Drosophila melanogaster: one gene and its partner. Changing the gene in region 1 together with any one later gene gives a genetic interaction. Each region holds a gene or a part of one and is shown on either strand. Other genes may lie near its edges.

Region 1 (4,688 bases):
GCTATTTTCATAAACTTCCATTAGATACAACCCCCCAAAAAAGAAAAAAACCCATGATGGAAATGGCCTGCACTTTCATCAAAACGAGAGAGAAGCGTTCGATAAAAATCCAGCTAGGGCATGGCAAATCATTGTGGGACTCTGCTCGCTTAATCAGTCTGCTGGGAGCTGTTATGGCTGGTCGGGATCGCTGTCCGCCTGGCCTGGCTTGGTTTCCCACTCATCCCGGTTCGCACGCCCGTTGGCAGTTTCAATTTCGTCGCGCTTATTCGCCGCATTTCCAGCAGATTGGAGCTGGATGGCGTTGCAGCAATGCATATAAATGACGTAGCAATTGAAAGCCATTTGTTATGCGCAGCTTTGCTTTGTTTCGCAATTAGAATTGCCAACTGGGGACACTCAGTCAGCTTGAAGACGTTTACATGGCTTAAAGAGCAGCAGTTTGGATTCTGGTTAAGCAGAAAATACATCTTCAATGTTGCTTATATACATGTGAAATTACAATGTACTCACTTTATTTACAATAAATAAAGGCAGCAGAGTAAGCAACAACTATTCGTTCTTACATCTAAAAAGCAACCGGCTTAACATATTTAAATCTCATCCAACTATTAATTGGATTTACTTGAAATAATTTGGAACAGCACAGGAGCGTAATTCTATATCTTAATGCTAACCAACTAGGAACTAATTGAGGGAAATGTTGTAAGTTTTGGCCACGTGAGATTTGGTTTGTGGTTGCGCCCAGCTGCGCCATCAGATGGAAGTTGTTTGTCTGCGGTTCCATCGCCACACGGTGGCGTCATCGCACACGTAGACCAGTACGCTGGCATCGCGAGAGAAGGCTATCTGGCGCACAGTGGCCACGCTACGCGAATTGTGCAGGGTGGTCATGTGTGCGCCCTCGGGATCGCTGGGATCCAGCTCCCACACATACACCTTGCCCTGCTGATTGCCCAGGGCAATCACCTTCTGCCACGGATTGAAGCCGAATCTCACGAACCAGATCTCGCACTCGTCGTACTCGAATTCCGCAATTATCGTGCAGGAGGAGTCGCTCGGCTTCACCTGCTCGAAGCTCTGATGTAGTTGTCCCGGTTTCCAGCAGACAATGGCATTTTCGCAGGACTTGGAGAGCACAAAGTTGCCGAACCACTGCACACAGTCCACATAGTTCCTGTGTATATCCCGCGTTGAAAAATCGGGGAAGTGCTTGGTCACCGTGGGGAAAGGCAGCGTTGACTTCTCCTGGCTGAAAGTGTTCGACAGTTCGATCTTGTGATGGAACTCGGGCGTATTCAGACACCACAGCTTCAGCGAGTGATCCATGCCGCTCGACACAATGCGATCTCCACGCATATTAAAGTCGATGGACAGCACCTCATCGCGATGTCCCTCCACTCCGCCCAGGATGGCAATGCACACATGGCTCTGGATGTTCCACAATCTTATCGCGTGATCCTTGCTGCCCGAAAGCAAAAGCTGTAGCTTGTGCGGATGGAACTTCAGCTCGTTAATGGCCTGTCCATGGCCAATGTAGTTGCCCACCGCCTCATTCTGCTCGACATCAATAACCCGGATGACTCCGCGGTATCCAGCAGCGGCCAGGAGAGGTGAAGAGGTCTTAAGGTCGTACGACCAGGCGCAGGTGTAAAATACTTCATCGGGCTGGGAAGGGAATTCAAGATTTGTTGATGTATTTCGAGTTTGTACAATTACATTTGCGACCATATTCTCAGTTACTCTCGGCTAAATTAACAATATAAGCTTTAATTTGAAAACTTGACTGTTATGAAAAACCAAACTTAATACAAGAAATGATAAATGTTTGGATATTGTGAAACCATGCTGAAAGCCTGTAACGATTGTTCTTACTTTAAAACAATTAACAAAAGCAATGATTTAATAGAAACTTTGACTGGATCCCACTTTTTCTACAGCTTTGAATGCGATGTCTAATGTATGAAGCCCCTAACTTTAGCCAACTGATCAATAGGGTCTTGAAAGTGTATTCTGTATCCTGGCGACTCACATCCGGATCTGCATAGCAGTGGAGCAGCTGCATCCCGCCCTGTCGAGGGCACTCGTAGACGGTCACCCGGTTGCTGCCCGCCGTAGCGAAGACCTGTGGCTCATCCTTGCCCAGCAGCGTGTTGAAGGCTACGCCGAAGATGTTGGCTCCGTGGTTCTCCTTCACGTGGGTGCTTCATGGTAATCATTTGTAGGTTCAGTATCAGTGGCCAGCTGAGAAAGTGCATATTCTTACTCGTATTTGTAGGCGGCGCGACTTTTTGGCTTCGATTTGGTGCTCCGGCGACCGCGGCGCTTGCTGCGCGTGCTGGATGACGGGGACTTGCTGCGCGAGGTGGTGCTGTTGGTGGTATAGCTGGCCGACTCATCCTGCAGCCGGCACATGGCCCAAAAGATCCATTAATTCTCGGTTCGCACAGCCATTTGTCATTCGCTACTCACGCCGCATGATTCCTCCGACTCCTCGGGCTCGTTGCCGTTTTTCACTTTATCACTGCTCATTTCGAACGCGCGGCACGTTTGTACGGTTAAATGAAACCCAAATTAGGCCGCGACTTCAATGAACTATTCGATAATGCTTTTTTTAAATGTTTAAATAACGAGGCGAATGAAAATGTTTTTTTTTGGCGGCAATGGTGTGACCCCAGTCACGGATCGCGTAAAATACCCAGGCATTGCAGGCAGTACGGTCTTACCATTGCGCAGCGTGGCCACCTGGTCACGATCGGCTGGCCAGTGTTGGTAAACATTAAACGGTATTTAACACACTTAGGCGGGAAAGTTAAAAAAAGTTCAAAAACGACAAAACACATGCGCAAGCTAGTTTTTTAATATAGAAAACAAACAAATGTAGGACAATCAACATGCCATGGATTCATGTGCGGTATTCAAACTTTGTACATGTATTCACAAAATTACACTGGTCGACAAGACTAGGAGAGTTGCTGCTTGCGAGTGGCGTCAAAAGTGGAAGATATAGTTTCTCAGAAATGCAAATGTATCATACAAATACTTTAAGCAGTTTTGAATACATTTAAAGTATATCTTCCAGTTCTCACTCCTTCAAGTGCTTACTACGTATGAATGTAAGTTTGATTTAATAGTTGCACGGAGTATTTAAACGTAGTAAGCAATTTTTTGTCCAAACGCGGCAACGAAACATTTACAATCCCGCTGAGCGCGGCTGGGGAACGAAACAAGTGTCCTTTTTTCTTTTTTTTTTTTTGATTAGTCTAGGATAAAATAGTTATTTACAACAGAAGCGAGCAAAAGATTTGGGGTAGGGGACAGAGGCTAGACAGAAGATTACAGCAGTGGAAATCGCAGACAGAGGTCAGCAGACAGATGGATAGATTGGATAAAGGAGAGATAGAGAGACAGAGTTCATAGAGTTATGTGTGTATATATAGAAAGTAGTTCATTCTGGAGCTGTGTGGTTGTTGGTTGGTTAACGCAAACGTGAAACGATAAAGGCAAATCGAACGAACTGAAGAGGCGTAACGGATAAACGTTAGTCTAGCATAGAAATCAAATTTCAAGTACGTTTTGTTCGTCGACATGGACCTGGCCCAGGTGGGTGTCCTTAGGCGGCGTTGCCGATGCACCGCCGCTGGGTTACTGCAACTGCCACTGCTGCCGGCACTTCCCGCTTGACTCTCGGCCGCCTTGGCACTTGGCTCCGCGGTTGCGCTGGAGGAGGTGGTGGTTTGGGATGTCAATGTGGATGTGCTGGCGGGCGGCGGTGGTCCCTTGTCGCCGGGATCCTTCGAAGGACTTTCTTCCATCACCGATTCCCTTACGGTTTCCAGGGCGGGTTGAAGCTTAGGGGCAGGTTGTGCGATAGTTTCGCTCGAGGTGTTGGATGGTGGACCCGTTGGGCCACTGTGGGTCTGCGGCGCCTGGGAAACGCCCTTGGTGCGACTCTCTATGCTGTCCTGGTTGTCAGCGCCTGGTGTGACACCTGCACCTGCTCCCCCAGGCGACGCCTCCTGCAGGCTGCAACTCCTATTGGAGTTGTTGTTGTCCTGCTGCTGGTCATCGCGTCCGTGGCTATGGCGACTGCAGTTCAGGTTCTTGCAATTCCCATTGCAGCCCTCCCTGCAGAAGTAAATGGCCGGCATACGTTGGGCGCCAGTTTCGAGTGCCAAGGCGGTCAAGTTTTTCGGCGCCCAGCAGTTGGCAGTGAGTAACAGCGAAAATGCAAATGGGCAATTTTTGGGCAACGAGACACCACGTTGATTTGACGTTGCATAGCATTCGGATTGTTTGTGTGTTTTGTGCAAAAGTTTTCATTTAGTTTTCATGTTTTTTTTTTTTTTTGGTTTTAGGTAAATAGTTTTGGCAATAGAAAGAAAGAATATATAAATAGAACATCAGTTGAGAGATTGTGATAAAGCTTTTGGGTTTAGTAGGGGCAGTGGATTGGACTTTTCCCACGAAGATTGCCTTACTCTAAATAAAATATCTGTCAATCATGTTCTAAAGTTGAACCTTCAAGAATTTCACTGTTCACATTTATATACAAAAAAAAAAAACAAATATTTTGTTAAAATAGACAATACAGTTCAACAATTCGTTTCCTTCTGGTAGGGCAACTTTTAAAAATGCATCAATTCCGAAACAAAACAAAAATCCTAGACGAAATGGCAATCGGAGTT
Region 2 (7,788 bases), on another chromosome or scaffold:
TGGCCCCAAATAAAATCCTGCGGATGGGGCTCGCTGATTTGGTCGATTTCTGATTGCGACTGCCGATGAATGGCGATAATGAGGGAAGTCGGTGATTTGTAAACTGCCAAACTTCATTTCGGGCGTTTTAAAGTGCCGCAAAATGCATTCGGACATTTCGATTACCGAAAATTGCGATCAGCAGTCCTCAATGACCATTGCTCCATGCCCCCCCCCCCCTTCTCGATCCCCGCCAGCCCCATTTCTCACTTTATTTCGTCAGCAATTAGTTCGAACTTCGAACACTTATTGGCGTTTTCCCCAAGGATCGGGCATGCAAGTGGGCCGAGGGGGATGTGTACCTGCTGTAACGCGGCGACTTACAAAGGGCATTCCCCAAATGCCACATTGGGCACAGATCAAAGATCACCGCGTCACCCGAAACAGGAGCAACTTATTCCCCATCAATTGAGTACGTGCAGAAATTCATCTATAAAATCAGGTTTACGAACAGGCCCCCGAAAAAATATTTGGAGCGCTTTGGACAATTTGTATCAAAATGTGGTACTTCAAAGGAGGAGGCTGTGTCCTTGATACTAAGGAATTTCTCAGCTGCTCAAGGGGTTGATCGTAATAATGAGATATTTAACCCACCCGATGTAAAAACTTTTTGAATTAATAATACATACCAAAAATATATACATATGTATTAATCATATCATGTGTATTTTCTGATATGCCTGAGGATTTTGTATAAAGGAATCAATCAATCATTCTAGATATTTTATCCTTAAAAAAACCCATATATTTTGTTTGTTCTCTTTTAGCTTTCAACTTTATTTTCCAAAAATCATATACGCTCCTAATAAATATAATTACAATAAGTCATTGGGCTTATTACAAAATAAGAATAAACTAAAAATTCGCATAGATCGTATAAATAAATGTGGGTGATGCCATCAATAAACTTAAATAAATTAGGAAACTAAATTTAGACAAGTGGTCGCCAAGTGGTAGTTCATTTGTTTGAGGTTGTTCTTTGGTACGTTTAGCTGCCAATTTTGGGTTAAGTTTGAATCAAATCAAAAACGCTTTATGCAATAAATTAGATTAATCATTAAGCTAGGGTTTAACGGCTATAAAAAAGAGTCTTGTTTGGGATAACTATGTACAGACTTAAGGCAGTATCTTAGCTAATATGTTTTAACAATAATTCTTACGATTAGGTAAATCTTTGCGAAGGCCTAAACAAAACAAACTTTGGCTTCATAGCAACGACTTAGACTTAGGGCCAACTGTGATCTGCTCCACCTTCATCATCATCATCATCATCATCATCATCTGGTTTTGAGTGTGTGTCTCGTCCTGCTTAGCTAATACTGGGATCTCCTGGATCAGAGATTGCCGCCTAGCCTCGGTCAGCAGCTGCTGCTGCTCACCTCCATCTTCAGGGGCTTCAGGTCCTCCACTGGCGGAGCCTCCTCATGGCGGCTCTCTCGATGACGTCGCAGATCCACCTTGCGCTGGAAGGACTGATCGCAAAGGTGGCAACCGAAGGGTTTATACCCCGTGTGCTTCCTCATATGCGTGATCAGGTTGGAGCTCTGGCTGAAGGCCTTCAGGCACACGGTGCACTTGTGTGGCTTCTCGCCTGGAATCGCAGGAAAATCAATAAACACAATTAGTTAAATGCCGCTTCAAAGTTTATTAATTGTGGCCGAGAGGCGGCGGCAGCTTTACAGCAATTAGACAAATTGAAAGGCGATAGGGATCTGTGTGTGTGCTCAAGGGTGGCTCTGTTTGCACCACGTTCTGACACATTTGCCGAGGAATAGTTGGATACTCTCCCCATGGACTAGCTTTGATTTCACCGAATATTCAACTTACCGGTATGTATGTACGTGTGCTTTTTCATGTCCGACTTTTGGTGGAACCGCTTGCCACAATATTGGCAGGGATATGGCCGTGTATCGCTGTGGATGAGCAGATGTGTGGACAGGGTGGACGAACGCTTGAAGCTCTTGCCACACTGTTTGCACTAAAAAGAAAGACATAGACAATAGAAAAATACATTATTAACACCACATTCAGACAGAACGAGTCATGATTATTGGAACTCAGAATACCCCATATTTGCACAGCTTGAGCATATTCACACCAAAAAGCCAAATAATCAAAAAATCAGAAAAGAATTTATATATAAATTCACCGTTTTTGTGTGCCTGAGCCAAATTCGCAGTGGCAACATGAATTAAACTAGATTTGTGAGTGCTCAAATATTTGTTAGACAAGTGACGACAAGGGAAAACCCAAACCAAGCCAAACTTGGTTAGCCCACATCCAGGCGACAAATAATCTAGAACCTTAGCCATTTCTCAGCGCTGAAACCAGCTAGGTAAATATCTCGGCCCAATGCTAAATCTCAAGTGAGACACTTTCCAGGGAGCTTTAGCCATGCATATATGTACATACATTGTATATACCGCAGTATTTGTGGGCCAAACACAGCTGGGATCCACGGGGAATCGATCGCGGGGATTGGACGAATCCAGTGGCTGTAACATCTTCGGTTGTCAGATTAAATGTTTGAACAGTTTGCCAGTTGCAGCAACGTTGCAAGTAACCAAACATTGACATAACACAACTCAAATCGTCGGCCTACGTGGGCGACATTTATATTAAACACGAAAACATGAAAACAACGAAAAGTAAAACACAGAAATGGGTGAAAAAAATGTGAGACAATTTTTTTTTTGAAAAACCCGCATGGTCTACGCGTAATTGTAAATTGACACAAGTGTCGGTTTTTTAAAATTTCTTTCTTATTGATTTTTATGTTCTCTTATTTTTTTATTTTTTACGTTTTTTTTTAGCCTTGTTTTTGGGATTTTCTATTTGCGCATTGCATTCGCGTGGACCATATCCACTACACACATTGGCTAGACTCAGACCCAATTAGTTGCTCTATTGTTAAGCTGCGCTCAACTGCCTGAGCCATAATGTCAATTTGCTTAGCTCTGACAACGGAACGGAAGTTGGCAAAGCTCGAAAGGCAAAAAAAAAAAGAAAAAACGAGCAGGGAAACAAAAAAAGAGTTAAGGAGAAACCCCAAAGTCTGAGTCAGCCGGGTGGGCCTCCAATGGTGAACAGATGTAAAGCACGAATTACAGAAAAAATTCGATTTTATACATAAACAGCTGAAGAACAGTGACTGCGCCTGCGCAAAGGACTCTGGCAACTGTCTTCGTCGGCTTTTTGACCATATGTCGGTCCGGTACTGAAGCCCGAAAACCTATCGCATTTCACTCTGACCCTTTAATGTGTGAAAAAAAAACTGGAAAAAGATGTTAAAAAAAAAAAAAATAAGGACTCGCGGCGGGTGTTGATGGATATAAACGCAATATGACATCGGGGTAGGCATAAGGCCTATTAGGGTAAGTCGTCTCAAATTCCTGAGGGTCGTGTGCCCTCTTACCTTTTGCACAATCCAATATCGAATTATTATGATTGTAATTTGTACATAAATCTTCGAGGGCGAGTTATGCCCCCCACCGCACTGGCGCTAATCAAAATTATTTGATTAACTAATTGCGTGATTTCGATGGGACTTAATTGAATTTCCATAGAGCTCTATCGGTTTGGCTTGTATTACCAACTTTATGACAGTATTTGCTGTGCCACTTTTCCAAATTGAAAGTGGTATTGGTGGGGTTTTCGGCTCGGCGACAATTAAAACCCGCACGGACAAAATATGAAACAATTAACACAGGGGAATTGTCGAGGACACGCAACCTTATGCAATGATACGAACAGTATTCGTTTTGGGTTATAGATCATGGTCCTTCAGGACACGTGATAAGCCCATTAAAGCGGGCTGGGGGCTCAGAGATTTTCAAGCGATTTGCCCTCGATTTCCTCTTCATATTTCCCTACCCCTCGACGCGTTTATCCTGTTTGAGTTTGCTTACCTGGAAATTCCTGCCGCTGCGCTTCTCTTCGTTTTCTCCTTGGTAAGATGACGAGGAGGACGAACGACGCGCAACATCTGTGGCCGTCGAGTCAGGATGTTGCTGCTGATGCTGATGTTGCTGCGGCTGCTGCTGGTGATGCAACTGTTGTTGCTGCTGCTGCTGCGGCTGTTGGTGTTGATTACGCATGTAGCCGAATTCGGCGGCTGCCACCAAATTCATGAGTGCCGCTGCCGAGCGGTTATCCTGCTGCTGCTCGTCCTTGATGCGATGCTGTTGCTGCTGCTGCTGCGGCTGCTCGCTCTTCAGCTTCAAGTGCTGGGTGAGCAGCTCCAGATTGTTGCCCGTCAATCCGGCCATGAATGCGCTGCGATGGGCATACAACTGCTGTTGGGCCACCTCGAACTCCAGATCCTGGACGGCATTCGAGGCGGGAGCGGACAGCGAGGAGATCGGCGATTGCAGCGAGGATATGGATGCAGTTCTGCGCTCATACTTGAACTTTCGCACAATAGGATCCACCTGGTGCTCCTCCTCATCGCCCTGCTCCTCCATCTTCAGGCCGTACTGCTCCCTTCTCGCCGATCTCTCGCACATCGAGGCCGGTGACCAGATGATGTTACCCTGCGATCTCTGGCGCTGTTGCTGTGGTGTACTCGAACTCTTTAGATTCACAGCGCTCAGGGGAGGCGGGGTAACGTTCAGCGAGGTCATCGGATGCAGTTGCTCCACTTCACTGCTGGAACTGCTCCTGCTGCTGTTGTTGCTGCTGCTGTGATACTGATCTCGGTTGGAATCATCCGATGTGATGCGCTCCTTGGTGCTTAGATTTAGTGGCATATCCTCATCCTGCTCCTGATAGTCCTGCTTGCTGTTCTCATTGTTATTGTTCATTTGGAGTTCATGCTCCTTTTCGGGCGTCAAGGCAAAGTCACGATCCCGCTGACCCAAAACCACAGAGGCGGGCGATTTGGGGGTCATGGGGGTCAGTGGTGTACCCAGAGCCGTGGCCGAGGACAACAAAAATTGGGGCCACAGTAGGGCACTCGAGTAGAGCAGCGGGTTGTACAAAAAGGGCAGATCTATGAAATGCAAATTTAACGAATCAGTTGAATAGTAGTGATTAAGATTAGGAAGGAAAAGTATCCTCAGGATGCCTATCAATATAAAGTTACTCTTGTATTGGTAAGAACTACAGTAAAGTTAACATAATTTTTCTGATCTGTTGAAAGTGTTAACATTTTGATTTTAAATCGAGTGATCTTTTAAATACAATTCGAAACGATTAAAAAGCTATAAGCTAATCTTTTTGCTATCTTTACTGCCCCATATATTTTTCTGTCAATCCAGATCGGGAACTCACCTCGACCATTGAGTTTCTGTGCTGCGGCGGAGGCTATCACAGTGTTGAAGGCGGATGCCCGCTGCATCCACTGCTTGTCCAGAGCTGCTCCATGGCAGCCCAATCCCGCGGGACTCGGCTGCTGGGAGTGCGGCGATGGCGGCGGCGATAGGTGATTCATTTTGATTCTGGATCTTTACTTTTTGGAATCTCACTGGATCTGATTTACGTATTTGCTTTAACAGTCTTTGGATTGTGATTTTTCTCAATACTGTTCACTGCACAAATCTCACTTTCTTGGCGTTGTGATCTTGGATTCGAACGGATCTTCGATGGGTCTTATTCAGTGCGGTTTTATCTTGACTCACTGGAGACGAACACGTCCGTATCGCTCGGTGCTTCGCACCTGACTGAATCTTTGGTCGATGGCTCAGTTCTAAATTGAGCCAACGGTGAAGCGACTTGGCCCGAAAAAAAGGTACAAATCGAGCTCTCTTTTTTTTATTTTTGTGTGCGACTGTGGTTACTTGTGGCACTGTGTGAGTGCGGCAGCAAGCCGAATCAAAACGAGCCCTCGGTGTATTGGTGTTGACTCTTTTGGTGGTGGCTCTCGAGAGCCCTGCAATGTATTGTTGGTGTTGGTGTTCGTGTTGCCAACTCTGGTTTTTCACCTTTGGCAGCAGTTGGCGGCAGTTGCAGTCCTGTGTTCCATGTTGTATGGGTCAAGACGCACAGTTAGGAGTCCCCTGGCGATCTCGATACCCCAACCCCCTGCGTTCGTATCCTCTTGGCCCATCTACTACTGGTTTTCCAGCACGCGTTTCCCTACTAATTGGTATGCACTTAAAGTTTGGCGGGCGTTTGTTATCCTTTTCCCGCTGCCCTGTAACAGTTACAATTGCCTTTGCTCTTTCTGTTGCTGCCACCAACTGTTGTTGGCTCAGGAATATCGGGATCGGTACTTTGGCCAAGGGAGAAGAAGCGAGAGAGGGCCAGCAATCGGCAGAGGATTTCACTGCTGATCGGTGGAAGGGGGGAGAGGACGAGGGCGGGATGGGGCGGGGTAGCATACAAATATTTAGGTGGATGAATCCAAGGATCTAACATCTGTCGTGGCAACTCTCCATGTTTGTAGATACTGTTTAGATTACCTTTAGATTTGACAAGGATTACAAATGGGTTCCTAATTTTGAATGTGATGAAAATTAATTTTTGTATTAATTATTAAAAATACATTGCGAGTAAAATATAGGAGAAATTAAGTTTAAATTCATTTTTATTTGCGCTTCTCCCAATAAGGGTAAATAGTTTAAAGCAACATCGTGAATTTAATCTTTAAGCTTTAGACTTCATCCATAAAAAGTGTTATTACATTTTAGAGGATTGACGTAAACCTACTTCACAACCAATGCACAAATATATAAACTTTATTTAAATTATTGTAGAATTTTTTTTGTTATATTTCTATATAAAATCTACCTTACCAAAATGACATATTTGATTATAATAATGTTACATTTAAATACATAAGATTAGGACAGATTTTATTTAATAGCTATCAAAATATCAGATTTCCCATTTAAAACCGTTTTAACAAATAGTTTGGTTTGGTTTCAGAACATTAACTTTCAACAAAGTTTTTGTTAAATTTCTCAATGCAAACTTTGCAGTTCGTCGTATTTTCCTAAAGCATTTCAATAAAATTAAAAGACTGAATTCTTTTGTCAGTCAATTTAAAACCAATACCAAACTCTAAGCCATAAAGTCCCCATCTTCTCGTTGGATCGTAGCTATTAAACCACTCAGATAGGACGACTGAGCACCTGCCACTTTCTCCCTCTACCGCTCGATGCACCTTTTTCCGAGCTTATCCTTGATGAGAGTTCGGGGTCCTCCTCCTGAGTTGGTAGCTCGCCACGCTTGGCCACCTCGTCTTGGCCGCCTCAATTCCAGTTTATCTATCCTTGGCGCGGGCCACACCTGCCTAGAAAACGAGCCAAGAAAATGTGGCGGGCGCACACTTACACTTCCACATTTAACGATCCTTTTCCTTGTCAGCAATTTTAGTTCCCATCCCCTAGTTTTTGGCGCAATTTCCATGGCAGGACATGTGCAGAGTTGAGGCGACACCGAAATTCCATCGCACTCGTGTCCGCCACGGGTGCCGCCGATCTAGCGAAGCGGTACGAGGCACGCGGCCTAAAAGCGGGCCAAAATGGGGGAACTCTGGCTTCTACCATTTCGACCGCGATGAGGGCTGGCCAAGTCAAGTTGGTGGCATCGTTGCGCTTGGCGGCGTTCCCATACATATTGTTTATCTGGAGAACTGAGGGCGCGTGCTCATCCCCTGCCGCTTTGTAACGGATTCACCGTATGCCGCTCACACATCTATCATCGTTTGATATGCGGTACACTGAGAGAAATACTGTTTTGAAAATTACAATATTCCTGCATATAGAATCCGCTTAATGCAGCTAGGAATGCAGCACTGAGAAATTT

What was found.
Region 2: of esc (region 1) and sens, changing one suppresses a phenotype caused by changing the other (phenotypic suppression), as found in Drosophila melanogaster (one study listed by BioGRID).

The regions. Positions count from the first base shown.
Region 1 is NT_033779.5:11,826,704-11,831,391, forward strand, and holds esc (extra sexcombs), read right to left. Parts: upstream 2,703-4,688; 5' UTR 2,533-2,702; coding exon 2,473-2,532; intron 2,401-2,472; coding exon 2,267-2,400; intron 2,205-2,266; coding exon 2,033-2,204; intron 1,669-2,032; coding exon 757-1,668; 3' UTR 501-756; downstream 1-500. Other genes in the region: Pde1c (phosphodiesterase 1c), read right to left, coding at 3,574-4,128. UniProt on the Drosophila melanogaster protein: Polycomb group (PcG) protein.
Region 2 is NT_037436.4:13,395,438-13,403,225, forward strand, and holds sens (senseless), read right to left. Parts: upstream 5,689-7,788; 5' UTR 5,471-5,688; coding exon 5,311-5,470; intron 5,030-5,310; coding exon 3,948-5,029; intron 2,018-3,947; coding exon 1,867-2,017; intron 1,631-1,866; coding exon 1,398-1,630; 3' UTR 791-1,397; downstream 1-790.